4 linked regions of the Lonchura striata genome follow. The protein of the gene in region 3 binds, or shares a complex with, the protein of the main gene of each other region. Links are inferred from orthologs where the notes say so. Each region holds a gene or a part of one and is shown on either strand. Other genes may lie near its edges.

Region 1 (7,428 bases), on a different chromosome or scaffold from region 3:
CTAAGAAATAAATTTACACAAAGTTTTTTCAGATTCTGTTCCATTCCCATTGCATCCAATCTCATCAGCAGACATGTGGAATCTATGGAAGTACAGAAATATGAAAAAAAAAAATAGAAACACAATATCAATAAGTGGTCAGAATGTTTTCAGTGTAGAGATGAATGTGTTGAAATGTTGATTCATTATGGAAAATTAATTATGGAAAAGTGTTGATTTAAATAAATTATTATTTTTTATGTTGAAATTCTCTGAACATACATATTTCCTTTTTATCTCAAAGAAATTAGATCTAACTAAAATATTTGTTTTTAAAAGTTATAATAATGAAAAAAATGCTACAACTCTGCTGAACCAGACTTTTACAAAGAAAGACACAGAAATGGTGCATGAAAACACTCTTTGTTTGAATTTCAGATGGGAAAGTTTCAAAAGTTCAGCAATTCCTTTGGGATGGGAAAAAAGGTTACTGCCCAATTCCTCTCAGAAACAGATATTTTGTTGTGTCTGATCTTGCAACTCAAGAATCTTTGACAAAATTTTAAAAAATAAAAAAGGATATGCAATGCATCAATCACACATATACATATAATGATTAATTTCCAGTCCTACCTATCTGTAAATCAAAATGCAGTTATTAGTTAAGCTGTTATTAACAATAATTATCTTTTGTTTGCTTCTTCTAGTCAGGTTGTCATAGTCATTGTCTGTATGACACTATTTTATGTTTAAATTCTGGAAAGCTCTTTTGGCAGATCAGTCTTTACTTCAGCAGCACAATTTTTCAAGGGAAGAAAAAACTTTTTAAAAATATTTCCTAAAAGGACATTATATGATTGTAAATATATGATAAGCTGATTAAATTAAAAGATTGTTTCTCTTTAACTGATTCTAAATGAAATTCAGATCTCTTAAGAGAATATAAACAAAATGATACAATTAAGACCCTTGCTAACATTTGCTTCTTTTTGGTGCATCAGACATCTGTGCTTAATTGTATTTGTCAGTGGACAATGCAACCTCTTCATGAGAACTCACATGTATCTTACAGCAGAGGGAAGATGAAGTTTCTTGAAGACAGCCTTAGAGGTAAGAGTGTATTTGCCTTCTATAATTTCTCAGATGACAGCATATGAATAGTAGCTTCTGTGGCCAACTGCCATTGTTGGGGGGTGGAGGAGGAGAAGCTTACATAAAAAGAAGATGTAGTTATGGTCTGACCAAAACCCTAAATTTTCCATGTTTCAGTAAATCAGAATGGTTTAGAAACTTCAAATTTGAAATAGCATTATTTAAGTACTTAGACAATTTAAAAATTAAACTTTCATGTCTTTCTAATTAGGAACAGGATCCCAACCACTGCTTGTTTTTATTTCGAATTCAGAGTAGATGTGGAGACACTCTTCCATAAGCAGCAGTAGGCTTATGTGGCACACAGGAGACCAGGGACAGCCACAGCTGAAAGCAGCCATATCCATGAAGATTTTTATCAACATGTGCTTTCATGTATTTATAACACAGCAAAAGCTTTTATGTGATCAGTTACCCAACACCAGCCCATACACTGGACTTAATTTAATACAAATGCCTTCCAGCTTAGGGAATCAAAAAGTATATATTCCAAAGAAGAAAGGTGACAAACATTCAGTATGAATGAATGTCAGAATCAGTATGTTCTTTATTCAGTAATTTTCTTACCCTTCTTCTCACTAGCACTGGTGAAAAGAAAGGAAAGAAATTGCTTCGTTTTAAGTCAGATGTGTAGGTTTTAACTTCGTAGACTTGCTACTTGTAGAAAGCTAAGGCTGTTACCTGAAAAAGTTCCTAAAGCTGCAGCATCAGGTTAAACCATCCTATAAATACAACCAATACAACTGGCCAGCTACAAATGTGATGTAGGTTTGGGGGCTTTTGTCTGAGTTATTTTTAACCCAGATCACTTCTCTGATGTGTTTCACTGCTCAGACACTGAACAGTATCAGCATAACAGGGTCACTGTATGATTCAAGAACAAGCAGCAAGAGATGAGGACAGTCAGATGAAATGCACACATCTGCTGTAAAAAATGTTGCCAAACTGCAGACTAATATAATTAACAAATCATCCCACTGGCTCCTCTGAAATTGCCTTAGATGGTGAACCAAATTCAAGCACAAGAGGCAAGTCACTGGGATATTTTTCTTCTAGTGTTATTAACCCACAAAGGACTGTGAGAGATGTGCTGTTGAGAATGAATAGCAGCAAGATGTTTTGGGGAGAACTTTTTTTATTATTTCAGGATAACTTAGATATAAACTGATACATAACTGATATTTGATTTGTAAATACAGGTACTTGGCTTCCAGTGTTGGTTCCACCTTTTCTGCAAATTCTCTAAATCTCTAATAAAACTCAAATTCTCTCTCCATTACTCCATATTGTCAGTTGCATTTATTCTGATCTCTTTCTAGTACCTGAATTGTACTGAAACCTGCAAAAATTTCTCAAAATATGGATTTCTGACTCTCCAGTAATTTGTATTCCACTGATTTCATGGATGCCTGATGGATCACTATCACATGCACTCTAGCAGAGTCTAGGAGACAACACACACATTTCCTCCTGACAGGTGATATAGAGCTCTCAATTTCATATCATAGCTGATAAACAGTTATGTATGCATCAATAATTGAATCCCACCACTTTACAATCTACCTTTTCCTGTCAGCTAGGAACACAGCCACTATCTCAACATGGTTCCAACATCACGGTGGTACAACCATGTTACAATTTTTCACCAACTAAACCACAATTTAGCATTTCAGTTTTGATTCATGCTTGTTTTGCTGCTTTGAAAATGAGGGTGAAAACTTCTTGAGTAGTAGAAATGCAGATTCACAGCTGCTGTTGATTGTTTTAACTCCTTTGATGTAAGTAATTGGAAGGAAGATGAATAGCAGCTGCGGAGCTGTTTGACTCCTTTGCACGAAACAGCCACCGCTCCACATCAGTCTCATCCGAAGAAGCCCTCTGATGGCTCTAGAGATGAGGAATCAAAAAAAGATACACTGATGACTGGCTGTCAGATCTTCCACTGTGCTGATCTCATTCCAGAAACTACACATCTGCATGTTTCACTCTGCATTGCCTCAGTGCCCCACTCTGGTAGTTGCTCAGCATTTTGCAGAAACGTGAAACTTTCCAAGGGGGGTATTTTCCCAAGAGTTTAAAATGCCATGTTCTAAATTTACATTAGGGAAATCTCACTGTTATTTCTAATGTGTATAATATTCAATAGTTGCAATCATACTGGATTTTAGTCCAGATTCAGTAAGTAATCTTTGTAAATAAATTTTTTTTTAGAAGTTCTTCTGTTCTTGTTTCTCAGATTCAAAATACTGTTATACATAGCTTATCCATATACAGGGATTATTTTAGCAACGGGGAAGACCTGGTATTCAAAGGATTTCAGTAAGGCAAGGTTTGCAGATAGAAATAAAAGCCTTGATTTCAGGATGAGCACAACTCAGTATGAGCTAAATCAAGAGTCAGCAACTGATTGCTGAAAACACGCACAGAAATGCTCCTCACTAAGATCAAGGGAGCCCTTACAAATACCAGATCTCTTGCACAATGCTCAGTTTCCTTTGTTCCTTTGCTGTCTGGAGGCATGGCCGCTAACTTTGTCAGCAACTGAAGAACTGAATAGGAATGTGCAAAAGTTACTCTAAAATGTACAAGAAGCGATGGGGGATTGTTTTGACTACATGACACGTGAAAAGGAAGGCGCCATCAGCAGTCTTGTGCAACAAGTCTTGGGTAGGCCAGTGCCCTGCTTGTGCGGCACTGGTTTCAGGAACCAAATACCCACACCGGGGGACAGCAGGCAAGGCTCCCTCAGCACAGCGACTGCGTGGAAGGCTTTCAACACAGGGGTACTGGGTTTCTTCTTAAATCTAAACAGAAAACTCAAATCTTCTCCACGCTTCCTTTCTCAGAACACGGTTCTGCTCTTGAGCCGCCCGCCCGCTGCTCGGCGGGAGATTTTAGGATAAGTTTCCAGTAACTCCTTCCCCCTTTGCGGGCTGGGCCGGGCAAGGGTGTCGAGGCGAAGAGATGGGGACGCGGCCCTCTCTGCTCCGCCGGTGCCTGGATAGCCGCGTCCCACGGGGGCAGTGCCCGGGGACGCGGGGGCCGTGTCCCTTCCGCAGCGTCCCCGTGGGCGCGGACGGGGCGGAGAGAAACCCGACCCCCGCCGCCTGGGCAGGGAGAGGGGCTGCGACCGCGCGGGAGGAGGCGGCGGCGGGGCCGTGCGACTGCCCCGTCCGCGGGGACACCCCCAGCCCGCGCTGCGGAGAGGGCGCCCCAGGGCGGGGCAGGGCGGGGCGGGGCGCGGCGCTGCCCTCTCGCCGAGCGGAGAGGGGGGAAGCCGGCGTCGGAGCGCTGCCGGCCGGCGGAGCCATGCGGAGCTGCGGGAGGGCGCGGGGCGCCGCGGGCTGGGCCGCCCCGCTGCTCCTGCTGTGGCAGTGCCTGCCGACGGCGCGGCCCTACAACCTGGACACGCAGCACGCGCTGCTCTTCCGCGGGAGCAACGGGACCTTCTTCGGGTACTCTGTTCTCCTGCACCGCCACGGCGAGGAGCGATGGTGAGTCCCCGGCCCGGCCGCCCCCGCGGGGGCCCGTCGCGCCTGGTCCTGGCCACGGCTCCTCACGCTGCCGTCTCTGCCCCGCAGGCTGGTGGCGGGCGCGCCCCGGGCCAGCTGGCCCGCCAACGAGTCGGTGCTCAGCCCCGGGGACGTATTCCGGTGCCGGATCGGGGGGAACTCCAGCGGAGGGTGCGAGCAGCTCCAGCTGGGTGAGTCGGCGGCGGGACGTGGGCGGCGGCCGGGGCCGGACGGTCCGTGCCCTCCGCCGTGCGCGCACCGCGGCTCCGCTCCGCTGCCGTGCGGGGCGTGCTGGGCCCTTCCGGCTTAAACTGCGGAGCGCTCTGCTTCTCGCCCAAGGGCCAGATCAGCGCTATCGCCCAAGGACTGCAGCGGCGGCATCAAGAGAGATAACAGGCACCAAAACTTAATTTGGAGAAGTTAGGTGTGACAGATACCGTTCCTGCAGCCGTTTCGCACCTTTCAGCCTCCGAGTCAAAAGCCCCATGAAAGTTTCGGTCTGAGCCTGCTCTGCGGAGAAGAGCTGGTGTAGCTTTCAGGGCAGCGGGTGATTGTAATAAGCGCAGGGATGGGAGGGTGGAAGTATGTGCCTAAGTCCTGTTTTCTCCTGCAAAGCATTCTCTTTGTAGAAGTCACCCTGAAGTAACTTTGAACCACAGTTGTCTTGCTGATAGGTTCTCCCTGCTTGCAGATTTATTGGAGTTTCAGGTGAACAGTTATTCATTTAACTTCACTTCTCTCTATCTCCACAGTCTCTATACTTAGGAGATGTAACTGGCTGCACTTACTCAACTTTCAAGCGTTTGATACTTGTTAAAAAGGGGAAGGCTTTGCACTGGGTTGCCATGAACACGTGTGAATTACTTTGGTTTCTCTTCCTGTCCCACTTGCATACAGTGCTGTTCACGCTATTTGTGTGCTATGAGAGAATCCTCCTCCACTTGTACTCAGTCACCCTCCGACCAAGAGTATCCCATCCGTTATGAGCACATCGCCCAGTAAGAAGCAGCGCGGGAAAAAGGCTATCAAAATATTTGAAAGCAGTAGCACACCATGAACTGGTGGCTGTCAGGGTGGAGCTCAGCGTTCTGTAACCAAAAAAATACTAAACCAATTATTTTTCTACATGTCTGTGCATAATACTTAGAACTGACAGGTTCTAGCCTTTCTTTTTTTTTTTTTTTTTGGCTACAAATCAATATAAGAGTTTCATTTTGTAACTGGTCTACAAAACCTAGGGTACTTCAGTGGTGTTTTTTATGTAGTCCTATAAGAAATAGACAAGCAGTTGTTGCTAGAAAGAATGGAAATTAAATTTATACCAGGCCAAGTAGTTTTTCGGAGTTTTGTTGATTAATTTCATTCCGGTACTATAGCCGTTTAAAAGTTAAACATAACAAAGAGATTTTTTTTTTTCTGACTGCCTGTTTATTATGAGGAGGCTTGCAAAAAGTCTAAGAGGTCAACTAAAATGGTGAAGTAACATATGCTAAAAGTCAATAAAAATAGTCCTTTACTGTGTGGGGGAAATAAAGGAAGGGTTGAAAGTTTCAGGTTCTTTGAAACCTACAAACATCTGCAGTGGCTCTCAGTTTGCTCATTTAGCCAATGGAGAAACAAAATCTCTAAAGAAATAATATGATGGGATTTTCTTCAATAGTGTAAGGGATTCTAATTGAAATGAGGCAACAGGTATATGAAAAAGTTTATGTGGTTCCAAAGGCTTAGCTTAACATGGCCTCTATTCCCAGAATTAAAGGCTGCAGGTTGCACAACATACTTTTTAAAACAACAGTTATACCACATGATATTTTTGCAAACTAGGTTTCCATTACTGCTAGATGACATCTTTGCATCACTAAGGTTTGCCTGTAGTATTTCTGAAGTTAAATAGAAGCTGAAAAGAAGTGCTGTATTGTAATACAGGTCATTGAGGTCAATGAAGAAGCCAAAGGCAGCTGTAGTCCATGGGATGTGAATGAAGTGGTATAGTATCTGAGGTCAGAGAAATATGCAGGGGAACTTGGAATTACAAAGCTGAACTTAATTAACTCTCATCTAACTCATTCAAGTTTGGGTTCTGATCTCATAGAATAGGGAATTTCCTTAGAAAAATGTGTGGCAATATATTGCACTGCTGAACAGGCACAATGAGAAATAAGTGTTGCTATCTTGCTCTTAAATAGTTGAACTCGCATTTTGTTCTGGTAAAAACATCTTTGAGGTGGTAACTTTCTAATTATAAGTCATGAAAAAGTATAGGTGATAACAGGCAATAGATGTGGCTTTCCAAATGTGGGGGCACTGTAAAAAATGGGTGTGAATTACTTAGAGATACAAATATGTTAAAATACTTTGTCGCTCCTTTTCACTAAAGTAGCCTTGAAACTGGCATAACTAATTAATGAAGGATTCATGAACAATTAGGAAGCCTCTGATCACACAAAACTGCTGTTGTCTTTTTATGTGTCACAAGTTCCTATCTGCTTCTTCAGTAGTAAAAGAGCTGCTGGGAGCAGTCTTATGCTGCAGTCATCACAGCATCTGGGATAACTCATCCAGACATACTTTAAAGAATGTTATTGTTCTTCAAGATGTTGCAGCCCCTGGGCCGGTTTAAGAACTGAAAAAAGTAATGAGATATGCTAGCAAGTCTCTGTTTTCCTAGCCCCTCATTGGCACTTTTAAATCTCTCTCTGATAGATGAACAGAAGAGTTTTCAGTCTCTTTTTGAGTACTAGTACTTCTGTTTAAGGTGTCAAGTGTTCTAGACTGCAGATTAATT
Region 2 (7,059 bases), on a different chromosome or scaffold from region 3:
TAAAGTTGCTTGCAACAGAACAGTAATAAAATCAGAATTTTCTCATATTTGCAGTCATTTCTGAAACTCCAGCAATACCTCTGTGTGCCAGTTCACAGGTAAAAATTGATTAATTAATGAGACTTCCTGATCTCAGTTAATTTTCAATAAAAACTAAGTGAATGCAAAGTAGTCTGATATTGTTTGTGACAAAAGGTATGTCCCTGACCTTGCATAACCCTAAAACTCCAAAAGAAAGTAAGTAATGCTTATAAAGACTAAAGTGGATCTTCACAATGAATATGAAGCTAAGCATATGATGATCTAACTGCTTCTGCATAAAACTCTGTTTTCTTTAAGCAAGGTCAAAAGTTGCCAAAGAACAGAAAGAATGTTTTGCATGAGGTTGGGAACAAAAGAGATCAACTCTGAAAATGTAATAAGGAAAATACAACAAAACACAAAACAATCTCTGAAACCCCAAACTTCTAAGTATCTAGTGTTTTCTTTTTTCTAAGTGTCCCCCTAATGGAAGATCTAAAACAACTTGTTTCTTAACCACCAAATCTCAGTTTTTAAACCAAAACTATTTAAAATTTGGGGTGAAAATGAATTTTTAATTTTAAATACTTTCTATCATGACTATTCCTAGCAATTTTTTTTGCCCCAGTAGTATCACTATCACTAATACAAAGGTAACACTTTTTATAAAATACTACTCTTTCTATACCAAGAGATTTTCTAACTTTTTTTGCATAAAGGATTAAGGAAAAAAGGTCCAATCAATACATGTAGAAACTACTCAGTTATGAGCAGAGAGCTACAGTCTGACTTTAACACATGTTAAACCTGCCTCTCCCACCCAAACAGGATAGATTATGAAGCAATAAAACCTTGCCAAGATGTTTATGCATCTATAGCTGATAACAGTTTGTACAATATTAAATAGTAATATATTTATCAGAAAGATTTCCTGAACAATCATAGTTAATATTTTAACATCACTTGTGCTAACATGATCTTCAACTTATTACATTATATTCAGATTGGTACTTCACACATAAATGCATTGCAGACTCTCATAAAAGTCACTTCACTGAAACATGTACTGTGTTGTACTTGATAACAACTATTTCATTATCACTGAAAAAAGCAATCTCTCTCCATACATCTCTTTTCCATTTCTTTGCTCTAGTTAATATTCATCATGAACATCTCCTTAACTTCATATATTTTATTATTATCACTTTGGTTACAGTCACCTGACCAAAAGCTGGTACAGTATAATGCATCATGCATGACAAACATGATTAAAACAACATTCAATTGACTTAAAGACTGTGATTTAAAAGGTGAGCACAGGCATCTGGATGGTTAATTACATACTTAATGAGCATGAACTGCATCTGGTTTCAGACATGAAAACTTTCACTATGGTAGGAATCAGAAATGTATTTGCTTTATCTTATTTGGTTTTTTTCTTCACACCTTCAACACCCTAGGTTCTAAGATTATAAATTCATATAAATTTGTAAATAAATAAAATTAAATAGAGCAAGTGGCCCCCTCAAGCTACTAAATTAAGATACAGAATTATTTCCTACAGATTCTGTCTTATACTTGACAGGAACACTGACTGAAGCATCATTTATGTACACATTACTGTGTACATCATTACTGTACACAGTACACCCCTGTCATGCATACTCTTTGACTCTAACAGTATTTGACAGCAAACAAGGCTTTTTTCCCACTGCAGCACCATTGGAGAAAACATATAAGATCACTATGTTTACCTGGATGTTGGTAAAACTTTAGGAACAGGTTATATTTGGGATTATTCCCTGCTATTATATCTGGCTAACATGCACCAAAGGGGGAGAGACAGGCAAACAGTGACTCATACAGAGTCCCATTAAGAAACTTCAAAAATGTGCAGACCAACCTGCTGAAAGCTATCCCAAAAGGATTTTAAAGTGAGCTAAAAGCCCTCAGTTTTTCAGGCAGAGACCTCACAACAATGTTATAGTTTTACACCATGCACTCTCACTTCAGTCATCATGTTCACATCTTACACAAGATTTCCTCTCACCCTTCCTTGCCATGCAAGAGACCCCCCGGTAACAAAAGAGGGAACCAGTACTCTGGCAAAAGCAGTGCTGTGTGGGCCAATGCCAAAGAGATTATTTGCTCCTTCCAGTTCACAGTGTCATTTCTAGGGATGTCACATAAGACTTATTCAGCTTCCATATTGTCTTACAAAGTACATTGTGCCCAGGCACTAGTATTGGCTCCTTCTCTTTTTATTTGAAGTTTTTAGAAAGAGAAGTCACTAGGGAGTTTGCTTGTAAGAGAACACATTCAAAGCTTGCAAGGAACTGTTTACAGTAAGATCATATATTATACTTGCACATTGAGCAAGTGCTAAACACTCAAAGAGCCAAACAGGAGGAATCCTTGTTCTGAGAGCATTTCCCCTCTGCTCCCTACCACCCCACGATGTTCTCAAAGTTTACATGAAATAAGAGATTAACTAGTTGAGCAACTACCAAAGGTTGCTCAAATTATGTCATAAATTCATCTGTTCGGGTCCAGCAAAGGTTTATGACACCTGACAGAGCCCATTCCTGGTGCTAAAACCCCAGCAACAACAACAAAAAAGAGTGATCTCATCAAAAGCGAGACTCCCACCGCTCTCCCCGCAGACCACTACAGAGCTCGGGGCGCCCAGTGCTCGGTTCCCCCCTCGCCGGAGTGGCTGGGCGGGGGGCGCGGAGCCCCGCTGAGCTCCCCGCCCGCCGCTGCCCAGCCCGGCCCGCTGCCCCCGCCCGCACGCGTCCCGCCGCACCGGGGCTCCCACCTGAAGAAAAGTTTGGAGAAGATGTTCGCCTTCTCCAGGGGAGACCTCTGCATGGTGAGGTGAGGTGCGGCGAGATGCGGTGAGCGGGGAACCGGAGGCAGCCGCTAATCGCTGACGCCTCGCTCGCCCACTCCGCTCCTGCGGCTCTCCCACCTTATCCGCCCGGCCGCTCTGATGTCACCGTCCGCCTCCTGCCCCGGCCCCTCTCCCCGCCTCTGCTTTGCCCCGGTTCAAAGGCGGGCGGGCTGGGGCTCCAGCCCGTGCGCTGCTGCCGCCGCCGCTCCTCCCCCGCCTCCCGCCGCGCCCGGCACCGGGCACCGGGCGCGCCCCGCCGCTCCCCCCGCACCTCTCCTCCCCGGCTCCCCGACGGCTCTCGCCCAGCCCCTTACCTCCACCTGCCGACTCAGCTTCCCGAGCCACCCCACCGCGGGTCCTCAGCCTCTCCCCAGCACTAAACCCCTCTTCTGACCAAGTGCCGAGGTGGGGAAGCCACCCCTCCAGATGGGCCTTCTGCCCTCTGTCCAGGGCGGCGGGGACAGCGCAGCGAGGACAGCCCCGTCGGAGCGTGGACACCCCCTGCCCTCCCGGGCGCGCAGCTGCTCACCGCAGAGCCCGCCCCGGTGCACAGGGCGCCTGCTTGCAGCCCACCGAGACCCGCGGGAGCCGGGCCGGCGCTTGGCCTTGGTGGGCACCCGCGGCCAGAAGCCCCCGTCCAGCGCCCCACGCCTCTGCGCGGTCCCGGGGGCGAGCGCACCGGCACACGGGCTTAAGGCAGAGGGCGAGCGGTCACCCCAGGAAAGGGTGCGGGCAAGCGCGATCATACCGACTTTAAAATACACTTGCTTCAGTTTTTCAAGTTCTTTGTCAGGCCCGCACCTGAACCGAGACGAATGGGAACCGAAGCTGTATCTTTAGTAAGTTTAGCTCAAACACCCAGATCTGAAGCTTTATATGTGTGACATACAAACAAAATCACTGCTTTAATGGCGCACAGCAGAAAGCATATTTGAGAGAGACAAAGATGACAAGAAGCAAGAAAAGAGAACATGTTGATTTAATTCTGTACAGGATTTTATTTTATTTGCTGCTTTATTTTGATATTTATACACTCCAATGCCTTTTCATTTCTGTAACTTAAAAAAGACGAATGGAAAAGACCATGCTTTGTGAATGAAGCAGACTCTGCCCTCTAAACTGGCTCTGTAGAGAAGCGAACGTACTTTTCTACATTTAGTTTGCGCTACAATTTAACCAGCTGTTACTTTTTGCAAACTTTGCAGATACTTTTTATTTCAACGTTTCTCGCTACGCGTTGCTGTGTTTTCACAAAGAATTTCTCTTTGCCTAATTCTTTTCTTAGATTCCTGAGCCAACAAGTGCCCTCTTAGGCTGTCACTGCACCGGGCTCCTTTGTGTCTCAGACCTCGAAACCTTCCCTATTCTGCTTTATTAATGACAAAACCAGTAAGAAACGCGGGCAGGCAGGACTCCAGGAAACTGTCCGCATTTTATCATGTCCTCAGACAATATGTACAGGCAGGGCTAAACCCGCCCAGGCTCCAGGACAGCAGCGCGGAGCCCTTCGGCATCCTGCCACCTAGTGGAGCCGGGCCCGGGCCGCCAGCCCATCCCGCACCGCACCGCACCGCGATGCACCCCCTACTGCACTGGGCACCGCACCCCGCAATGCACCCCCTACTGCACTGGGCACCCGCACCGCACCGCACTGCACCCCCTACTGCACTGGGCACCGGCACCGCACCCCCTACTGCACTGGGCACCCGCACCGCGATGCACCCCCTACTGCACTGGGCACCGCACCGCGATGCACCCCCTACTGCACTGGGCACCGCACCGCGATGCACCCCCTACTGCACTGGGCACCGCACCCCGCAATGCACCCCCTACTGCACTGGGCACCGCACAGCAATGAACCCCCTACTGCACTGGGCACCGCACAGCAATGAACCCCCTACTGCACTGGGCACCCGCACCGCAATGCACCCCCTACTGCACTGGGCACCGCACCGCGATGCACCCCCTACTGCACTGGGCACCCGCACCGCAATGCACCCCCTACTGCACTGGGCACCGCACCGCGATGAACCCCCTACTGCACTGGGCACCGCACAGCAATGAACCCCCTACTGCACTGGGCACCGCACAGCAATGAACCCCCTACTGCACTGGGCACCCGCACCGCACCGCACTGCACCCCCTACTGCACTGGGCACCGCACCGCGATGCACACCCTACTGCACTGGGCACCCGCACCGCACCGCACCCCCTACTGCACTGGGCACCCGCACCGCACCGCACTGCACCCCCTACTGCACTGGGCACCGCACCGCACCGCACCCCCTACTGCACTGGGCACCGCACCGCAATGCACCCCCTACTGCACTGGGCACCGCACCCCGCAATGCACCCCCTACTGCACTGGGCACCCGCACCGCAATGCACCCCCTACTGCACTGGGCACCGCACAGCAATGAACCCCCTACTGCACTGGGCACCGCACCCCGCAATGCACCCCCTACTGCACTGGGCACCCGCACCGCAATGCACCCCCTACTGCACTGGGCACCCGCACCGCACCGCGATGCACACCCTACTGCACTGGGCACCGCACCGCACCGCACCCCCTACTGCACTGGGCACCCGCACCGCACCGCACCCCCTACTGCACTGGGCACCCGCACCGCAATGCACCCCCTACTGCACTGGGCACCGCACCGCAATGAACTCCCTACTGCACTGGGCACCGCACCGCACCCCCTACTGCACTGGGCACCGCACCGCACCGCACTGCACCCCCTACTGCACTGGGCACCGCACCCCGCAATGCACCCCCTACTGCACTGCACACCCTACTGCACTGGGCACCGCACCGCACCCCGCATCGCACCGCGGCAGCGATGCGGAAGAAGGCGGGATCAGCTTCTCCGGGCCTTCAGTGCTGGGCATCTGGAAGGCACCTCCCGCCGCTCCCTGATGCGGCAGTGACAGCCGCCAGACCCACAGCCCCTGCAGAGGTCAGGGAGCTTAAGTAGGAACGCGAACCAGGATTCAGATCCCCCCGGCAGGAGCCGGGACAAGGCTGGGATCCCATATGCTCCATCGGCCTCTGAGAGAAGTTCTTTGGGTAGGCCCTGGCAAGGAGCTCACCTAGATCTACCAATTTTTTTTCACTTAATTAAAAAACGGTAAAATGTTAATTTAAAGACAGAATCAGATAATCAACTACGTCGGAAAAGACCTTTGAGATCAACAAGTCAGAGTGGAAACCTATTCTTCAAAACAGTACACACTAGCCTGCTACAGGCTCTTTCTCTTCCTAGCCTTTGGATCTCTGGTACAAGTGAATAAAGCAGAAACTGAGCAGGGGATTAGACTTTTTTTTTTTTAATTTACATTAGAAAGTGAGGTATGTTAGTAATTTGAAACCATTAGTGGATCAGGTCCAAACTACTTAAAATGTCAACTGGTAATGAAGTATTCTTCATAACAGTATCTCCCTGTGGCTATTACCATAACAGCTGATTTGCACACAGGTAGCAAATTTGGGACTAACAAAGACATCCCATCAATCATCGTTGATTATGTAATTTTTCTTACATGAAAAATTCCACGAACTTTCCCTAATTTTGAACACTTCTTCTCTAAACTTAGAATATTTCTTTGCCTACTTTCTTAAGTACCAGCTATGGTTCATCAAAACCCATGGAATAATGATTTCCCTGCTCTGTGATCCAATAGTTTTGCAAATTAATCAGATGCTTTCACATTCACACATCTCTCAGTCAAAAACTCATAAACTCTTGCTTTTGTTTTACATATTTATTGTCATTTTTCTCTCATGTACCCACAAAGTTTCCACTGGTACATTTCCTTGCTTATTTCAGTCCTAACCTTCCCAGGGATCTTGAACTGACATGAGCATAAAACTTGTCATTAGCATTACTGTGAGCAGGAATAAAATGTAATATTTCTGTTCTTCTCTAGGGACTGAAATATCTCCAACTTAAGTATTATTTATGCATTTCATTTACATGAACTTCTTTCACTTTTACAGAGATGCAACTTGATACACTGAGACAACAGCTACTTTATCCTTTAGATGTATCCACAACTACCATCTATTGGACTTTACTCAGAAGGAAACACAGTGAGGCTGAGTTAGACAGCCAGGCAAGAGAATGGGAGGATGAGAAAAGCTG
Region 3 (7,972 bases):
CATTACATCATCTTACCCAGGGAGGGGCACAATTTCCGTAGAGTAAGAACTACCTCTTACAACCACAGCAGCACATTAAAATTGCAGAAACCAAAGACATCTAGGATACATATGCTGCTTTAAGGCAGAAGGGGCACTGGGGTAGGAGAAACCCCCAAACTAAACCTGCATATAGTTCAGTCTCAGGGAAACACGTTAAGCTTTCTTAACTACTACTTTATGTACAATGTTTCTACATGCCTCCAAGTTTATTAGCATTCATAACTATAATTTGTATATAAATAATCAGCATATTAGAGGGAAAGAAAAATTCAGACATTTTTTTAAACAGAAATAGCATAGGAGACCACAGGTTTACTGACAGACTAAAAACAGTCCCAGAGGGCCCAGCACCATTTACTTTGCAACTCTAAGTAAAAATGGATCAACAGTTTCATTATTTCTCACCAGCACATCATTGCAGATGTCTCTTAGCTCAGTCTCAATTTTCTCTCTGTATTCGCGAGCCATCTGCTGTTTTTTCTCAGCGCCTTCCGTCTTTTGTTCAATACTTGAGACGACTCTCCAAGATGACCTACGGGCTCCTACAACATTTTTATAGGCAACAGAGAGAAGATTCCTCTCTTCGTTGGACAACTCAGCTCCTTGCTCAGTCACAGATTTCATGCAACTTGCCATGTCATCATATCTTTCAGCCTGCTCAGCCAGTTTGGCCTTCTGCACCAGCTCATTTTTATCCATGTTGATATTTCTGAAGAGGAAAAATAGCGAGGCATTATTCAGACATTGGTCAAGGACAAAGGTGTTTAAACTTCAAAGGCAGAGCACCGTGTATTCTCTAATTTGGAACTGGAAGAGACACAACTGAAATCCAGCACACAAGGCATACTAGCAGCACTGGCTGCTCAAACACATGGACACATGGAGTAGAGAGTTAAAACCACTGCTTCCTCCTGAAAACTGTAAACTTTTAAGTATGTTATTTTAATAAACACAAACAAAAGCATCCAAAGGTGAACTGAAACCAAATAATTTCTATCTTATGCACAAAAACGATCCTAATTCTTTGCCACCACTTTTTCATAAGGCTACATTATCAGTGTAGCAAAACTGACAAAGAAAATATCCAATAGTAAGCTTTCCACAGGAGACAACCAAATAAAGGCTGGACAAAGAATATCAAGCAGCATTCTGAACCTTAACAGAATCAGTTACATGCAGAGGTACTTCACATAAACACCTGCAAATCAAATCCCACACTGGATGTTAAAAAGTCATAGTGCAACAAATATCTAAATTGTGAGTTGTACACCTTCCCACAATGCTAACTCCCTTTCCCAAAATGGGAATCCCCATTATGGGATGTTCTGTATCAGATATTGCTGCTCTGCCTGGGAGGCTGTGCTTTCACAGACAAAAGAAAATTTTACTACTTAAAAATATGACCTCAACATCAGTATTTCAGACAGCACAACCTAGCAGAAAAACTTCAGAACCTGTCTTATCAGCACAGAGGTATTGAGAAATTTCTTTTGGCACAGGAAGCAAAAATACTTCTGCCTCACCCCCCATCTTTCTGTGTACCCTAACTTGATCATTTGGAGGAATGTGCTTAGGGGATACATTATCCTTCGAAGTTTAACAAGATTATTAAAGCATGAACCAGTTTTGGTCATGAGTGCTTTATCTATTTCTGTACGTTCCAGACACCCCAACCAAGCATTTTCATTTTTAACCACTAAGACTTTTGCCATTTTATGTGACGTTAGGAGAAACAATGGCATGGCTTGTGTTCCATCTTTGGGAATAAACTAAGCACATTTTAACATTCCAGGTGACTGCAAATTTTAACGGCTCCTGTCCCCAACGGGGAGGCACAAACTCGTTTGTGTGCAAACGCCCGTTGGAGAACTTGCCCAACCGCGCGCGGCGGGGTTAAGGAGCCATTTTAAAGCGAGCTTTTGGTGGTGGTTATCTACCACTCGGCTTGACCGGGGCAAACGCGGTCACAACGCCGGCCCCGCCGCCGGTCCCCGGGGCACCGCAGGCTGCCGCGGCAGCATCCCCGGGCGGGCCGCCGCCGCCCCCGCGGGCTGGGCGCTGCCGCGGCTCCGGCACGGGGAGCGCGGTGACAGCAGAAAATGGAGCGGCCCGGGGGCGGGCGGAGCGGAGGGCGGGGCGGGCGGGCGGCCCCGGGGCGCTGCGGCCGCCCCTCCCTCCCTCCCTCCCGCCCTCCTCGCCGCGCCCGCCGCGGGGACACCGAGCGCCGCGCCCGCCGCCTTTGTCACGGCGGGTGGGCGCCGGAGCCCGGCCCGCCCCGATCCCGCTCCCCTCCGCCCAGCGCCCCCGGGGGAGGATGCTGCGTCCCCGCCCCGGAATAGGGAAAGCCCGCGGGTCCATCCCTGGGGGATTCGGCGCGGGGGAGGGGGAGCGGCGGAGGAGGAGCCCCCTCTAGTCCCGGGGGAGCCGCCGCTCTCGCCCGGACCCCTCGGCCGGGGCGGGGAGGATGGGCGAGGGGGGGGCCTGGGCGGAGGGAGGGAAGGGAGCGCGGCCGCGGCGACTCTTCCGCGCCCGGGCAGGGCTCCCGGCGGGAGACCACACCCGGCAGCGCCGCCGCCCGCGCCCCGGCCCCCGCCCGGCAGGGGCGGCGCTCCCCTCCCTGCGGGCGCGGGGTCGCCCTCACCTGCCGCCCCCTCCGCCGGTGCTTTCCCCGTTTTCCCCGGCGGAGAAGGGCCCCCGCCGCCCCGCGCAGCGGCCCCCGCGCCCCGCTCCCTCCCCGTGGAGCCGCGCCGGGGGTGGGGGGAGCGGGGCGGGCTGGGCGCTGTCCCCCGGCCGCCCCGCTCAGTGCTCCCGACCTGCGGCGTGCCGGGGAGCCGGTGCCGGGCGGCGGCCCCGTTACCTGTGCGCGGCGGGCGGGCGGGCGCGGGTGCGTCGGTGCGGGCGGGCGGCCGGCGCGGACTGTGCGGTTCTGGCGCTCGCGGCGCTGCAGCCTCGCTCCCTCCCTCCCTCTCCCGGCGCCGCGCACGGGGCGTCTCCGCCAATCACCGCTCCGCTCCGCGCGGGCCGCGCGCCGCCCGTGACGTCAAGCGGCGCCATGGCAACGGAGCGCGAGGGCGCGCGCGAACCTTCCCCCCCCCGCTCCCCCGCCCGCGGTCACGCCCAGAGCCGGCGGCGGCCCCGCCCGCGGGCGCGCGCCTGCACCCCCGCCCCACCGCCGAGCCGAGCGGGGCGGCCCGCGGGTCCCGGGGGCGCCGCGGGTTCGGGGCCGCGGCCCGCCCCCACGTCCCGCCCCCGCCGCGGCGCCCGCCCCGGCCCGGCGGGGAGGGCTCCGCACCCGCCCGGGGGCGGCGGAGCGGTGCCCGCGCCCGCGGCACGGAGCGGGGGCGGCAGCACCGTCTCCTCGTGCGGCCGCGGGCCGTGCGCGGATGTCACCGCCGCCCCCCGCGCACCCCGGGCGGGCTCTCCAGGCTTTGTGCCGCCCCGAGCGCCCAGTCCGCCCCGTAACCCCCGCCGAGCCCCGTGCGTGGCGGGTGGCTGAGCCCCGGGGCGCTGGGGGGGAGCGGGACTGTCCCGGCACACGCGCGGCCGCGGGAGCGCTCCGCATCGAGCCGCGCCCGGAGCCTCATCCTGCACCGGGAGCGCGACTCGTGCTGGGCGTTAAAAACGAGAGGGCCAGAGGAGGATGGGAGGCCGGGGACGGCGGCAGCGCCCTGGGAGATCCCCCCGGGGCTGGCGGATGGGCGCTCAGCGGCTCTGCAGGCGCAGGACGGTCCCTCTGGAAGCCCCTTCCCTTGGAAAGGCAAGCGGGCATTTCGGACAGCACCATCCAAACGTTGATGAGAACGTGCTGACAGGAGTAGGAAGAGTATTAATAAATATTGCTGTTGTTGGAAATGCTTTTTCATTTTCTGGAAAAAAAAAAATCCCACCCTGTTTCCTAAAGGTCTTGGAAGTCGGCATTCCCTTGTCCCCTTTCTGAACAACATCCCCCAGCTTGAATCTTTGTCTCAAGTATGCAGTGTCCTGACCTCTCCTGCTTTCTCCTGGGCTCTGGGATCAGCACTGTCTCACAGGATTAGAAATGAAATGGAGAGTAATAAGATGGAGAAAGCACGTCGAAATATTTTTTGAAAAGGGCCAGGTGTTGTATCTGGCAGTGCCATGGGCCAGGAGCATCTCCAGAGCGGGATTCCCTCCCCGGGGCTTGCTGCAGGCTGCCGTGCCCGCGGCAGACCCGGGAGCTCTCCGCCCCGTTCCCGTTCGGCGCAAACCGCACGGAAAGTCGGCTCCGGTCACGTGCCCGGGCCGCGTCCCGGCCGTGCGGCGGGAGCGGGCGGCGGGAGCGGGCGGCGGGAGCGGGCGGCGGGAGCGGGCGGCGGGAGCGGGCGGCGGGAGCGGGCGGCGGGAGCGGGCGGCGGGAGCGGGCGGCGGGAGCGGGCGGCGGCGGCCCCGGGCGGCGGCGGCCCCGGGCGGCGGCGGCCCCGGGCGGCGGGAGCGGGCGGCGGCGGCCCCGGGCGGCGGCGGCCCCGGGCGGCGGCGGCCCCGGGCGGCGGCGGCCCCGGGCGGCGGCGGCCCCGGGCGCGGCTCCGGCGGGGCTCGCTCGGCTCATCCCCGAACGGCTCCCGCGGGAGCAGCCCGGCGCAGGACGGGCCTGTACTTATGTCTACAGCCATAAAAGTCTGTCGGTGGGACACAGCGAGGGAGTAGCGTAGGAGGAGTGAGGCGCTTCCTTCTGGAAAGCAAGAAGAAGTTATGGATGTATTTGTTGTTCTAGAGTGGCCGGGAGCAGGTTGGTTCGGTACCAGAGATAACAGCATCTTCAGGTTCTCCCGCAGATGCCTCCTGCTCTTGCCTGCACGCCTCTCTCTCTTTTCCAGGCAGTTCAGGACAGCTTCCCAGTGTGGTCTTGCACCCTGCAGTGACAAAGTGACTGTGGACCTGTGAGTGAGATAAAGTGATGAGAACGCCGTCCCTTTCATCTTCAAAACAGTGATCCTGTATTTTGACTGAATATCAGAAAGGTCCTGCTTTAAAATCCTCCTGTCAAAGTTGACTTTTTAAGAACTAGGCTTTTTTTTTTCATTATATCATATAAAGAGCAGTTAGTTTTTCCATGGTGGCGTTTTACCTGCAGAGTTTGTTTCTGATTTCTTACTACCCTTCCTCATGGCCTAAGATGTATGTTGGGGTTTGTACTCCATATAAGTTTTGCCCATCAACCTCTGTCATCTTCCACATTAACAGTAAGATATTTTTAAAAAATATATTTCTCATAATTTCTGGTTCCTTCAATTAACTCCAATGTTTAATGAATTTCACTCAAGTTCCTATGGGATATTGTTGGAAAGCTTGTGAAAAGAGCTAAAAAAAGCAAAAGAGGCAATAATGTGCAGAGTGAAGCTCACCAGAATTTACTAGCTGTGTCAGGTGAGAACATCACTGTTACTTAATTTAAATGTGAAGAATATAACCCTACTCTTTGGTTTCCAAATGATACTTCATTGGCCTATACAGGTACAGAGGGAGATTTTTGGAACAAACATTGTAAGGCTCAGGTTCATAATTTATTCCAATACACGAGGCTTCATTTTATATGTTTTTATTTTTTACCATTATTTTCCACTTTAGGAAGCAATAGGAGGAGAGCTTTAGAGCTGTACTTGAACACAGATGGTATGGTGGCACAGCATTTGCTGCATCTTGTTTCAAGTTATGTTACAGAGTTCATTTTTAACATAAGCTAAAAACCCTTATTTTGTAGAAAAGTCTCATTGAAATGGCAACCACCCAAATATAGAGCATACATTTTCAGAGGTACTTGAATATTTTCTGGTAACATGATAAAAAAAATTAACTGATGCAAGAAAAATGATAATCCTTAAAAGTGCATAAAGAACCCTGCAGACTGGAGCCTGCATTAGAATGAAGCACAAATGTGTATTGCATTTTGATATTTCCGGGAAATATAGGGGAATCCTGTGTGAAGTAGGCTGCAATACTGTAGGCAACGTTAATAGTTTTGTGGAAGGAAAACATCAGCCTTTCCATTCTGTCCTTTCCATTACTTTTGGTTTTGGAGGGAACGGAACATGTCCTGCAACAACCCGAATTGCCACTAACCATAGTTTGTGTTTGCTAGCAGCCCCGTGCGTCAATAGACGCTGCACTCTTTCCCCTTTAAGTGGGCTATTTTTGCCAAACACCATTTCCACTCCTCTGGATTTCATGAACGCTGCCATTTGGAGCAGATCCAAGGATTTAGATGTTACTCACCTTTGCATATGCTGTCTCTTAAGCAGATACTCGCCTGCTGTCTTTTATTCTTACATTTCCTGCACTTTTCCCCCACTGTAGAATGTTGTATTTTGTCTTGCATATTGCAGTTTTGACCAGGGAACTCGGTCTCTTAAATACCAAGGCTTTAAGCAGCTTTCCTCTTCTTCAGATGCTTTTTCTCTGTTGCTCTCCTCACAGCTTTTTGTTCGATGACTTGCACTTTCACTATCTCAGACTGTCAGGCGGCAGCCAGCAGCAAAAACTCATTTGTAGAGTTAGAAACATTTGCATATGAAAGTACCTATATGCGTGTTTATTTACACTCATTCTTACTTTACTTTCTTACATGAGAAGAAGAAATGGAGGGATGGGGAGGGGAAAAAATTACTCCAGATATATTTTATTTCCCCTCTAAACCAGCTTTTAGTTCTTCCCTCTCATCCTTTCTCCACAAGTGCTTAGTTATTCTTTCTTGTGCTTAAACATAATTAATTAAAAATAGATGAGTACAAGATTGGGTTATCCCCATGCTAGAAGAGTATGTCATGATTTTTGGGGGTCAACCTCACATAGACAGGAGCAAGAGCAATAACCCAGGAAATCCGTAAGAATAGCTCTTAGAAGTCGGTGAATGCTGTCAGGACTGGAAGGCTCCGTGGTGGTGACTCTTGGTACTAACCAGGCTGCTGCTAGAATATAGAGATGTCCTGAGTTACTGTTGGTTGGTGTTTGTGTTGGTTTTGGGTTTTTTTGGGGTTTTTTTTGCTTTTTTTTTTTTCCTGGGAACAGAAAAATGAGCAAAGGCAGCCTAGCAAAGGGCATTTCCCCAGAGACCAGGAGATGATTCTGCAAATTTACGGCCTGCAGAGGGAAGAAAAGAAGAGCTGGCAGCTCTGTTGTGTGTTCTACTGTTAAGAGCTACATTTTCAAAAGCTGCTTGCTTAAAATCCTGACTGTTGTGATTTTGTTACATACCTTTCTGGGCTGATTCTCTGGCTACATGATTATATACATCTGTGTGTATTTTTATGCAGCCTTTATGTGCTTCTGTAGAGTTTTGAATTTCTTTCTCCCATTTGGCAGAAGGAAGATCCTTTACTTTCTGGAATAAAAACATTTATTGACATTTTTAGGTATATATTGTACTTATCTTTCCTTGGCCACTGCCTGTGATTTGCAAGCCAAACTTCAAGCTTTGCAGAAGCTTTTGTTCACCTTCTTTGTAGTCTGATTGTGCTTTTGGATCAATGGATACTCTTCTTCCTCGGGACACTCTTGTAGGTTGACCATCCTGAAAGACTTAAGTGAAGGATGCATGCATTTAGAGTATTCTTTTCTTTTTTGTTCCCTCCCCCATCCCCAGTGTTCTAAAATGAGTCAGATTCTGACTCTCTGTCTGGTGCCAATGATAAAACATGAATTGTGGATAAGGCTAGTATTTTCCATCATTGAGTGGAAAGTAGTTGGAGCTGCTGGATCTCACAAGGCCTTTCTCTCTGCCTCATCAAACATTCTGTAGTCTCTCCTCATCTGTTTGTAGTCTAATTTTTTATAAAAATTACAAATCTAGCCAAAGAAGCAATGTACCAGTGACTCCTGCATAAGTAATACTTTACCCTGAATTCAAATCTTTAAATTATTTTGTATATGGATGGATTTAGGTGTATATATATTAGAGAGTTAGTGCATGGTTGGA
Region 4 (7,445 bases), on a different chromosome or scaffold from region 3:
TTCAGTTTTGCTCCCTACACTGTTCCAAATTTGCATTCTTCTACCACACAGCTTCTACTCTTTAATGTCGTGCCCAATCTGAGAGAGATTTTTTCACTATTTTAAAGCTTTTGGAGAACAAGTAATTCCTAAAAACAGAAAGACTGTAGAAAGTGCAACAGGGATAAAGAAACAAGTATGAAAATCCACAGATCCCTCTTGACCTAAGAACAGCAGCATAACACAGCTTTTGAGATTGCAGCTAGTTTATCACTGGTCAGCTCAGACAGTACAGAGTATATGTGGAGCAGACACAAACAACTACATCTAGCTCTCTTCAGTCCAGGCACTGGAGGTGATGAACTCTCCTAGTTCTTTACATGTTTATGGACTTCACTACTAAAGCAGAATGACAAAGTACTTTTTCTGGTTTGCAACAGTTCCATTAAGTTCCAGCCAAAGAGGACAAAAGAAAAAGTAATATTTTCACATTTACAGTTTGCTGAAAAGCCATTGAAATAAGCAAATTATATTACATAAGCATGCAGTTATGTAGCACTATAAGCCAGACAGACGCCTACTGCCAGAATTAAAAGGGGCCCACTTCAAGTCAAATCTCCCATTACAAGAAAAGCGTCCATGAACTATCAAGACCCCGCCTATTGAAAAGCTCAGAGTCTAAAAATTAACCAACATAAGAGGCACAAAAACATCACGGATAATTCAACTTCCTAAGCCTCACTATGCAACAGCTTCCACAACAGAACCACAAGACTCTCAGGTTTCACCTGCTCTGGAATGAAGAGATGTCAGGGTGCTTGAAATCTCTCCAAGCTGAATGCAGAGCATAAAAATTCTATAATGAAACTCTGTGGCCTTCCTATTTCCACCTGTGAGGACAGCCCCTCTGACTTCTGAGAATTGTTACTTTTAAGGAAATAGCACTGCATGGGGCAAAACTAATAAGCTGTAAGTGCACACTTAAGAATTTCCCATTTCACTGAACTGATAGCAGTCCATGAGGCAAAGCTTGCAAAGTTTCAAAGAGGCGACAGGTATATGCATGAAAAGCCTTTTGTGAGAACTGGTTACAATACTGCCAGGAGGTTTTTGTTTGTTTGAGTTTGCTTTCCCTTTTTCTTCACCCCTTCCCAGGAGAGGAAATGACAGTATCTGACAAAACTCGTTGAATACTTCTTTTTAGCATGTATTTCATACACACCAAAGCCACATCACACATTAAACTTAAAATTGCTGGTCAGGTCAATGTCCTGCTTCTGATCTTTTTAAAAGCATAAAGCCATTAATTAAGTACTATAAACTTAGTTGTATGAAGTCTTTGAAAATCTGGCAAGCAGGGGTGTTTTTTATTCTACATTCACACTATGTATCTGTCGGTAAGATAAGCAGATGGGGAAAAGTTTTAGTTATTATTTTTACAAACGGGGCCATGTACATCGTAACACAGAACATCAGGCCACCACACTTCAAATAAAGGTGCTGTACTTTTATTGCCATGCAGCTGGCAAACTGGGGTGAGAGCATGCAGCCCTGGGTACTCTTGCCAACTAACCTGATCAGTGTGCGCAGCTTTTTGTTCAAAAGCATCCATCATATGTATTATATGCAATCAATATCAAAAGCACAAACTTTCAACCACAAACACATGGAGCGTCCCAGTTGCCGTGTCAGCACTAAGAAATTGTCCCTATGCATCTGGTGTCAAATCTGCTTTTCAAAGCTCCCATGGCCTCGCAGCTCCTGTCTGTTTCAGCCCGCACTCATCGTATTAGTCCAAGTTCGCATCCCCGCACTCTGTTAGGAAACCGAGAGAAAACAGCCCGGGAGCGTTTAACCTGCCGGTGGCAGCCACCAGCACTGATTCACAGCACGCTCGCTGACCTAAGAGTTTCTTCTTCATTAGCACGGGGGATAAGAGTGGGCTCTGGCGCACTTTTGCCTCCCCAGGTACCCGCCGTGGCCACCCGGGGGTGTCACTACAGCCGGGGGCCGCGGGGGCACCGGGGGCTCGGCCCCCGGAGGAGTCGGTGACCGGAGCTGCTCCCGCCGCCCCGCGGTGAACCCGGGGCGGCGACGGCGAGCCCTGGCCGAGCGGGTCCCGCGGCGGCGATGGTCAGCCCCAGCCGGGCAGTCCTCACCTGCGTTATAGAAGCGGTCCAGCACCGCCGTCTCGCCGAAGTCCAGCTTGCCGAAGTGCAGGGTCTCCAGCGCGGCCCCCACCGCCTCGCACGCCTCCCGCAGGCTCTGCAGGGCGCCGCTCTCCGCCGCCAGCAGCGGGCCCTGGCTCGCCTCGTTGATCACGTAGGTGACCGCGGTCCGCCGGCCGCCACCCTTGGCCCGCGCCGCGGTGCTCGGGCAGGCGGCGGCGGCGGCGTCCTCAGCCCAGACAGCGGCGGGCGGCGGCGCAGCCAAGTCGGGCGGGAGGCTGCGGGCGCCCGCGTCGGCCCCGGGCGCTCTCCTGCCGAGTACCTCCTCGCAGGGCGTCCCGCCGCCGGGCGGGCCGGGCACCGGCAGGCTGACGATCCCCTCGCTGCTGTCGTTCATCCCGGCGGTGAAAGAGCAGCCCCGGGCTCTGTTGCGCTGGCCGGGGTTAGGCGGATGCCATAATGCGCCGCCCGCCCCGGAGCGGTCCCGCTGAGCTGCTGGAGGGGAGAGGCGAACGGGCTGAAGCGAGGGATTCCCACTCGGGCGCTAGCGAAGGCTGTCGGAGACAGGGAGATGAGCACAGCCTCCCTCCGTGCCTGCCACCGGCACCATGACGCGCCGCTCCCTTCTCCTCCGCACCTGCAGGGACTACCCGGCGCGCCGACCCCCGGCAGCCCGGCCTCCTTCTCCTGCCACCCCCGACACTCCGCTCGTCCTCCGGCCGCTGTACTCCTTGGACGAAATTCCTCGGCCGCGGGGATAAACCACTTGTGGGATCGCTCTCCGGCGCCCCAGCTCCAGCCGAGCGACAGCTGCGGAGCCACTGGCAGCGCGGGCTGGGGCGGCCCCAGCACCGGGCACCTCCTCCGGCCCCGCCTCCGGGCAGAAATAACCTTTTCCGCCCCCGTGCTCAGCGTTCTGGCCGCGTCCCGAGTGGGAGCTCTCGAGGAAGGGGAGTCGTGTCGTGTCCTCACGGGCTTGTCAGCCTGGAAGGACGCCGCTCTTCTTGGGAAGTCCCGGCTCGGTCACCCCTGCTCGTCGGGGCGCCACGGGAGGGAACGGGGTGCGGGCTGTTGGAGAGGACCGGGGCGGCCCTGCCGTCTCCTGCGGGGCTTTATTTTGTAATATGCTGTCCCCTAACACGAGCCCACGGTCGCGCTTCAAATCTGTGGAGTCAGGGTGCGCCTCCCCGCTGCTGAAACGGCGGGGGCCCTGTGCGCCCCGGAGCCTTCAGCGATGTTCACTGAAGGAGCCTGTGTTTGCAAGAAGCCAGGTCCTCCCTGTGCGTTGAACCTGGTCCTGCTAAAGGGATTTTTATAATTTCCTGCTTTTCTTGTTTGTTTTTGATGGCACACGTACTCTAACTAGCTTGTCAGGAGTAAATGCTTTGAGTGTTTGCAGTGAGTTGAGAGCAGTGTCAGGACTGACTAATCATTAGCCTTTGCCGTCTGCTATTATCCGCCGCCTGAACCTGCCTCGCTCTGTGTTCCCGAACGGCTTCAAGTTCACTGAAGGGTTTATGGCTGCTTTGAGCAGGACCAGCCTTATTCTTTTGCAAGCGCTGCACTCGGAAACTGGAAAACTACCCCTGTATGTTGATTAAATATGTCGGTTTCTTGCATTCACCTGCAATTTACTTGTCAAGAATACTTGAAAGCTTGGTAATTATCAAAAACATTAATTCACAGAGAAGGAAACTAATAGCACTAAGCAGCATATAGCCAAAAACTGTGCTGTGTATAGTATAGCACCTAGCAGAGGACAAGATCTTTTGGTATTAGAAATAGTCCTTAATTCGAAGAAAAGATGCCCTACAAGTTCAGATTGTTTGCAGTACAAGGCTGAATATCTGGGGAATTCAAAATGGATTGGGAAAGGAAATAATGTTGAGACTTCAGCAGTCTGGTTTTGGGTATAAATACTGTAAAACTGGATGATTTTTCAAATGTCCTTTTTTAAGGGCTTATATTAAATGGGTACAAGAGAGAAGAAAAACCAGCATTTATTAGCTTTGTTTATATGTTATATCAATGGGTCCCATCCTGTTAAAATTGATGTTAAGACTAATCCACTTGTTGGCACAAAGCCTTCTCCTGTATCATTGTTTTCCATTACTTCTGTAGATCAATTCTGGAATAATTAGAAAAATTACTCACTGCAGTAGCTTCAGTAGCTCTGTTTGCTTTTGCATTGAGCAGTCCCCTTTTCAACAAGATATGCTTGGCATTTACTTCTGCTGATAAGAAATCAGTAAATGGGGTGGGAAGATGACAAGCAAACTAAAGACTAATTTACAGGGAAAAGTTAATATTTGCTCATCTGCCAGATACAGTAGGTTATTGTTTCTTGCCACAGTCTGAATGGCAAAGTGTTTTTCTAAATTATGATGTTTTACATAAAATGCAGAATTGGTGTTAATCCATTCAACATTGCACTTACATCACCTTACAGGAAGCAAGAACAATATGTCTCTGTTGTTCTCAAGAACAGCCTGTGTTTGTCAAGTGCAGAAGGAAGTCATGGACTGAAAGGAGACGGAAGAAGCATGCTATTCCACTTAGCATTACTGACTTGTGAGGCTTGCTTCATTATTAGCACCATGTCTGTTCCAAATACAAGGCACTTTTTCTACTGATTTGGCTATGTGTGACGTTGAGCGCTAAACTGGGAAAAAAATCAAAATACTGTTGAGTAACAAGTTGCTGATGGTTTTATAAAGTGAAAATATATATTTTAATCTGTTCGCTCTCTGAAATGAACAACAGGCATTTAGGACATCTTTTGTTTTCATTTTTGATTAGGAGATAATTCCAAGGACTTTTTAAAAACTGAAGTAACAGCCCATTTGTTATCAGAAGTACTCTTACCTTGTTCACTTGTTTCTCAAGGGCTGTGAAATTAACATCTTTAACACCAGATGGTTTGTATATAATCATGATTCAGTACCATCCTGTTCCAGCTCTGTTTTTTTCAGAGACAAAACAGAGAAAAACTTGGAACAACCAGGTGGCTGTAGACTTGTTGAAATAACAACCTTCTCTTTGTTATATATTTCTACAGCTAAAAATCATTTACCTCTGGTATTAACCATAATTATAATTTTAACATCCAAGAGTTTGCCAACTTTATTAGTTGCAAATATAAATGCAATAGTTGATGAGTTACAAAGAGCACATGACAAATATCCCAGGCTTGATTTAGCTGATCCAACTAGTATAAACAAGGTCCAAAACAAAAAAAGACAATTCAAATGTATCCCGATTTATAGAGATTAAATCTAAATATAACTCTGTCCAATCTATATTTTTCATGTATTGTGGCCATCCATGTCCAGTAGAGGCAGAAAAATTATTTTAGACAAATCTTCATTTTGAATGTTTACACTAATGTGGATACAATTAATAAAATAAACTGAAATTTATCGCCACAAATACTGGGTTTAAAATGGATGTGAAATTTCATCAATCCTTTAAGGACGTCTTATTTAACTACAGGATAACATAGGAGTGAGAGATTGGAAATTCACTGTAAATTCTTCACTGATAAACAGGAAAAAGTTTTCAGGAGTCCAGCATCCTTCAGTTATGAGTGTCTAAAAAAACCCAAAAGAATTTTAAGAAACTTGGAGATATAGAAATTTGAATGAGATATTAAAAGTACATAAGTTAATGCAATATTTGTAACCTTTAGGCCAAAACTCTCACAAGTACTAGAAATGGTTAAACTGAAATTAGAAAACCTTGTTTCTAAAAGCTATCAAAAAAATTAGACTAAGTATATCACTATAGACAATGAGAAGTAACTTCTAAGTTCAGCAGGGAGAAGGCAGTATTTTGAGGCAGGCAGCTGCCAGTCTTTAAGAAAAGGTACACTTATAGTCACACTGAACATCTAAAACAATATTTAAGTGCGGGCAGAAGGTAAATAGAGACTGGTGGCCATTGTGTAGGGATGCAGCTGATCATGGAATAGGAATAACATGGGGAATCTGCTTACCAAATTACAGCATGGTGCATATGGGAGGCAGCCAGCAAAACCTGACCGAACAATGTGGATACATCATCAGGGATGGATATTTCACCAGTCAGGATCTTCCTTGTAGCCCTTTTCTTGTGAGAATGGTGAAGATTGTGTGCTGTTCTTGCTTCATACTCTTTCCTCATAATTCTCACATTTCTTTCTAAATCTCCATGTCTAAATCTTCATTTGCTCCAGTGTCTTTCCCTCCTCTTGCTTCTTTTATTCTTTTGAACTTCCAGAAAACCTCCATGCTAACTGCCTCTTCCTTCCAAATGCCATAACCCTCAGTTTAGACATATAAGGGGAGTCTTTTCCCTTTGCATTCCTTACTGCAATCCCATTGGTTGTTTTTATTTATTTATTTTCAATGTTGCCAGTTCTTCAATCTTAAATGAACCTTGGGATTCTAAATGCTTTTTCTAAAGCTGCAACACATTCAGCTTTATGATGATATGAAGATTTCAACTGGAAACATCTCTATGCTTCTATCGGTCAATAAGCATTCACTTGTGGAAGAAAATCTTGATGGCATGGAGCCTAGGGAATGGTTCAATAGTTTAAAAGACAGACAAAAATTAACTGCTCTCCTTGAATATTTTCAGTGTTTTAAGCTACCTGCCCTTGCACATGAGGAAATAGCTCACATTCTACCTTCTCTGGTAGAAAAGCTCTTCTTATAAGTTGTTCAAACTCTTGGACTCGAGCCCTTCTGATTACTGTTCCTGATGACCATCAAGGGTTTTGGAAGGATTTGTGCACACAGCAATGATGGTTGCCAGCTCAGCTCACACCTAAACTGGCTGTCAGCTAGCAAGCTGAGGAAATGAGAGACGTGTTTGTAACAGAGCAGAGCTCTTGGGTCTGAAAGGGTGGAGATACTGCAGTAAGGATCCCAAACACTTACTCTAATGCTAACGAGGAGGGTACTTCTGCGAGCAGAGCATAGAGAAGTGACAGCTGCATAAAGCTAGCTGAAAACTGCATACTACGCAACTTTCCCGTTTTTAATTGGAATTATATTGTGTTTTGAATTTCAGTGTAGTTGGGGATTTTTTTCCTTCAACTGAGGACTCTTTTTTTTTTTTTTGCGTGGAACATGGCTGCCATCTACTGCTGCATGCAGGATCCGTCTGTTTGGAAGAATCTGGCTGGATTCTCCCTCTGGGCTGGTGAGGCCACACCTCAGGTCTTGTGTCCAGTTCGGGGCCCCCTCAGTTCACGACAGACCTTGAGGTGCTGGAGCAAGTCCGGAGAAGGACAACAAAGGTGGTGAAGGCTCT

Evidence for each region.
Region 1: the proteins of YWHAZ (region 3) and ITGA4 are in contact, whole or in part, in a crystal structure (PDB 4HKC), measured with the Homo sapiens proteins. The link is inferred for Lonchura striata from reciprocal best matches to the Homo sapiens genes YWHAZ and ITGA4. Residues at the interface, in NP_001129171.1 of Homo sapiens: Lys49, Arg56, Lys120, Arg127, Tyr128, Glu131, Gly169, Leu172, Asn173, Val176, Tyr179, Glu180, Ile217, Leu220, Asn224, Leu227, Trp228; in NP_000876.3 of Homo sapiens: Arg1007, Gln1008, Tyr1009, Lys1010, Ser1011, Ile1012, Leu1013.
Region 2: the proteins of YWHAZ (region 3) and CFTR are in contact, whole or in part, in a crystal structure (PDB 5D2D), measured with the Homo sapiens proteins. The link is inferred for Lonchura striata from reciprocal best matches to the Homo sapiens genes YWHAZ and CFTR. Residues at the interface, in NP_001129171.1 of Homo sapiens: Asn38, Arg41, Asn42, Ser45, Val46, Lys49, Arg56, Arg60, Glu113, Phe117, Lys120, Arg127, Tyr128, Glu131, His164, Pro165, Ile166, Gly169, Leu172, Asn173, Val176, Glu180, Ile217, Leu220, Asp223, Asn224, Thr226, Leu227, Trp228; in NP_000483.3 of Homo sapiens: Arg764, Arg765, Arg766, Gln767, Ser768, Val769, Leu770, Asn771, Leu772, Met773, Thr774.
Region 4: the proteins of YWHAZ (region 3) and MAP3K5 are in contact, whole or in part, in a crystal structure (PDB 6EJL), measured with the Homo sapiens proteins. The link is inferred for Lonchura striata from reciprocal best matches to the Homo sapiens genes YWHAZ and MAP3K5. Residues at the interface, in NP_001129171.1 of Homo sapiens: Val46, Lys49, Asn50, Arg56, Lys120, Arg127, Tyr128, Glu131, Gly169, Leu172, Asn173, Val176, Tyr179, Glu180, Ile217, Leu220, Asp223, Asn224, Leu227, Trp228; in NP_005914.1 of Homo sapiens: Ser964, Ile965, Ser966, Leu967, Pro968, Val969.

Annotation. Positions count from the first base shown.
Region 1 is NC_134610.1:24,034,364-24,041,791, forward strand, and holds the start of ITGA4 (integrin alpha-4), read left to right. Parts: upstream 1-4,425; 5' UTR 4,426-4,440; coding exon 4,441-4,625; intron 4,626-4,712; coding exon 4,713-4,834; intron 4,835-7,428. UniProt on the Homo sapiens protein: Integrins alpha-4/beta-1 (VLA-4) and alpha-4/beta-7 are receptors for fibronectin. They recognize one or more domains within the alternatively spliced CS-1 and CS-5 regions of fibronectin. They are also receptors for VCAM1.
Region 2 is NC_134607.1:34,225,377-34,232,435, forward strand, and holds the start of CFTR (cystic fibrosis transmembrane conductance regulator), read right to left. Parts: upstream 3,015-7,059; 5' UTR 2,893-3,014; coding exon 2,840-2,892; intron 1-2,839. UniProt on the Homo sapiens protein: Epithelial ion channel that plays an important role in the regulation of epithelial ion and water transport and fluid homeostasis. Mediates the transport of chloride ions across the cell membrane.
Region 3 is NC_134603.1:21,495,856-21,503,827, reverse strand, and holds the start of YWHAZ (14-3-3 protein zeta/delta), read right to left. Parts: upstream 3,008-7,972; 5' UTR 2,900-3,007; intron 752-2,899; 5' UTR 742-751; coding exon 448-741; intron 1-447.
Region 4 is NC_134605.1:50,682,092-50,689,536, forward strand, and holds the start of MAP3K5 (mitogen-activated protein kinase kinase kinase 5), read right to left. Parts: upstream 3,005-7,445; 5' UTR 2,545-3,004; coding exon 2,139-2,544; intron 1-2,138. UniProt on the Homo sapiens protein: Serine/threonine kinase which acts as an essential component of the MAP kinase signal transduction pathway. Plays an important role in the cascades of cellular responses evoked by changes in the environment.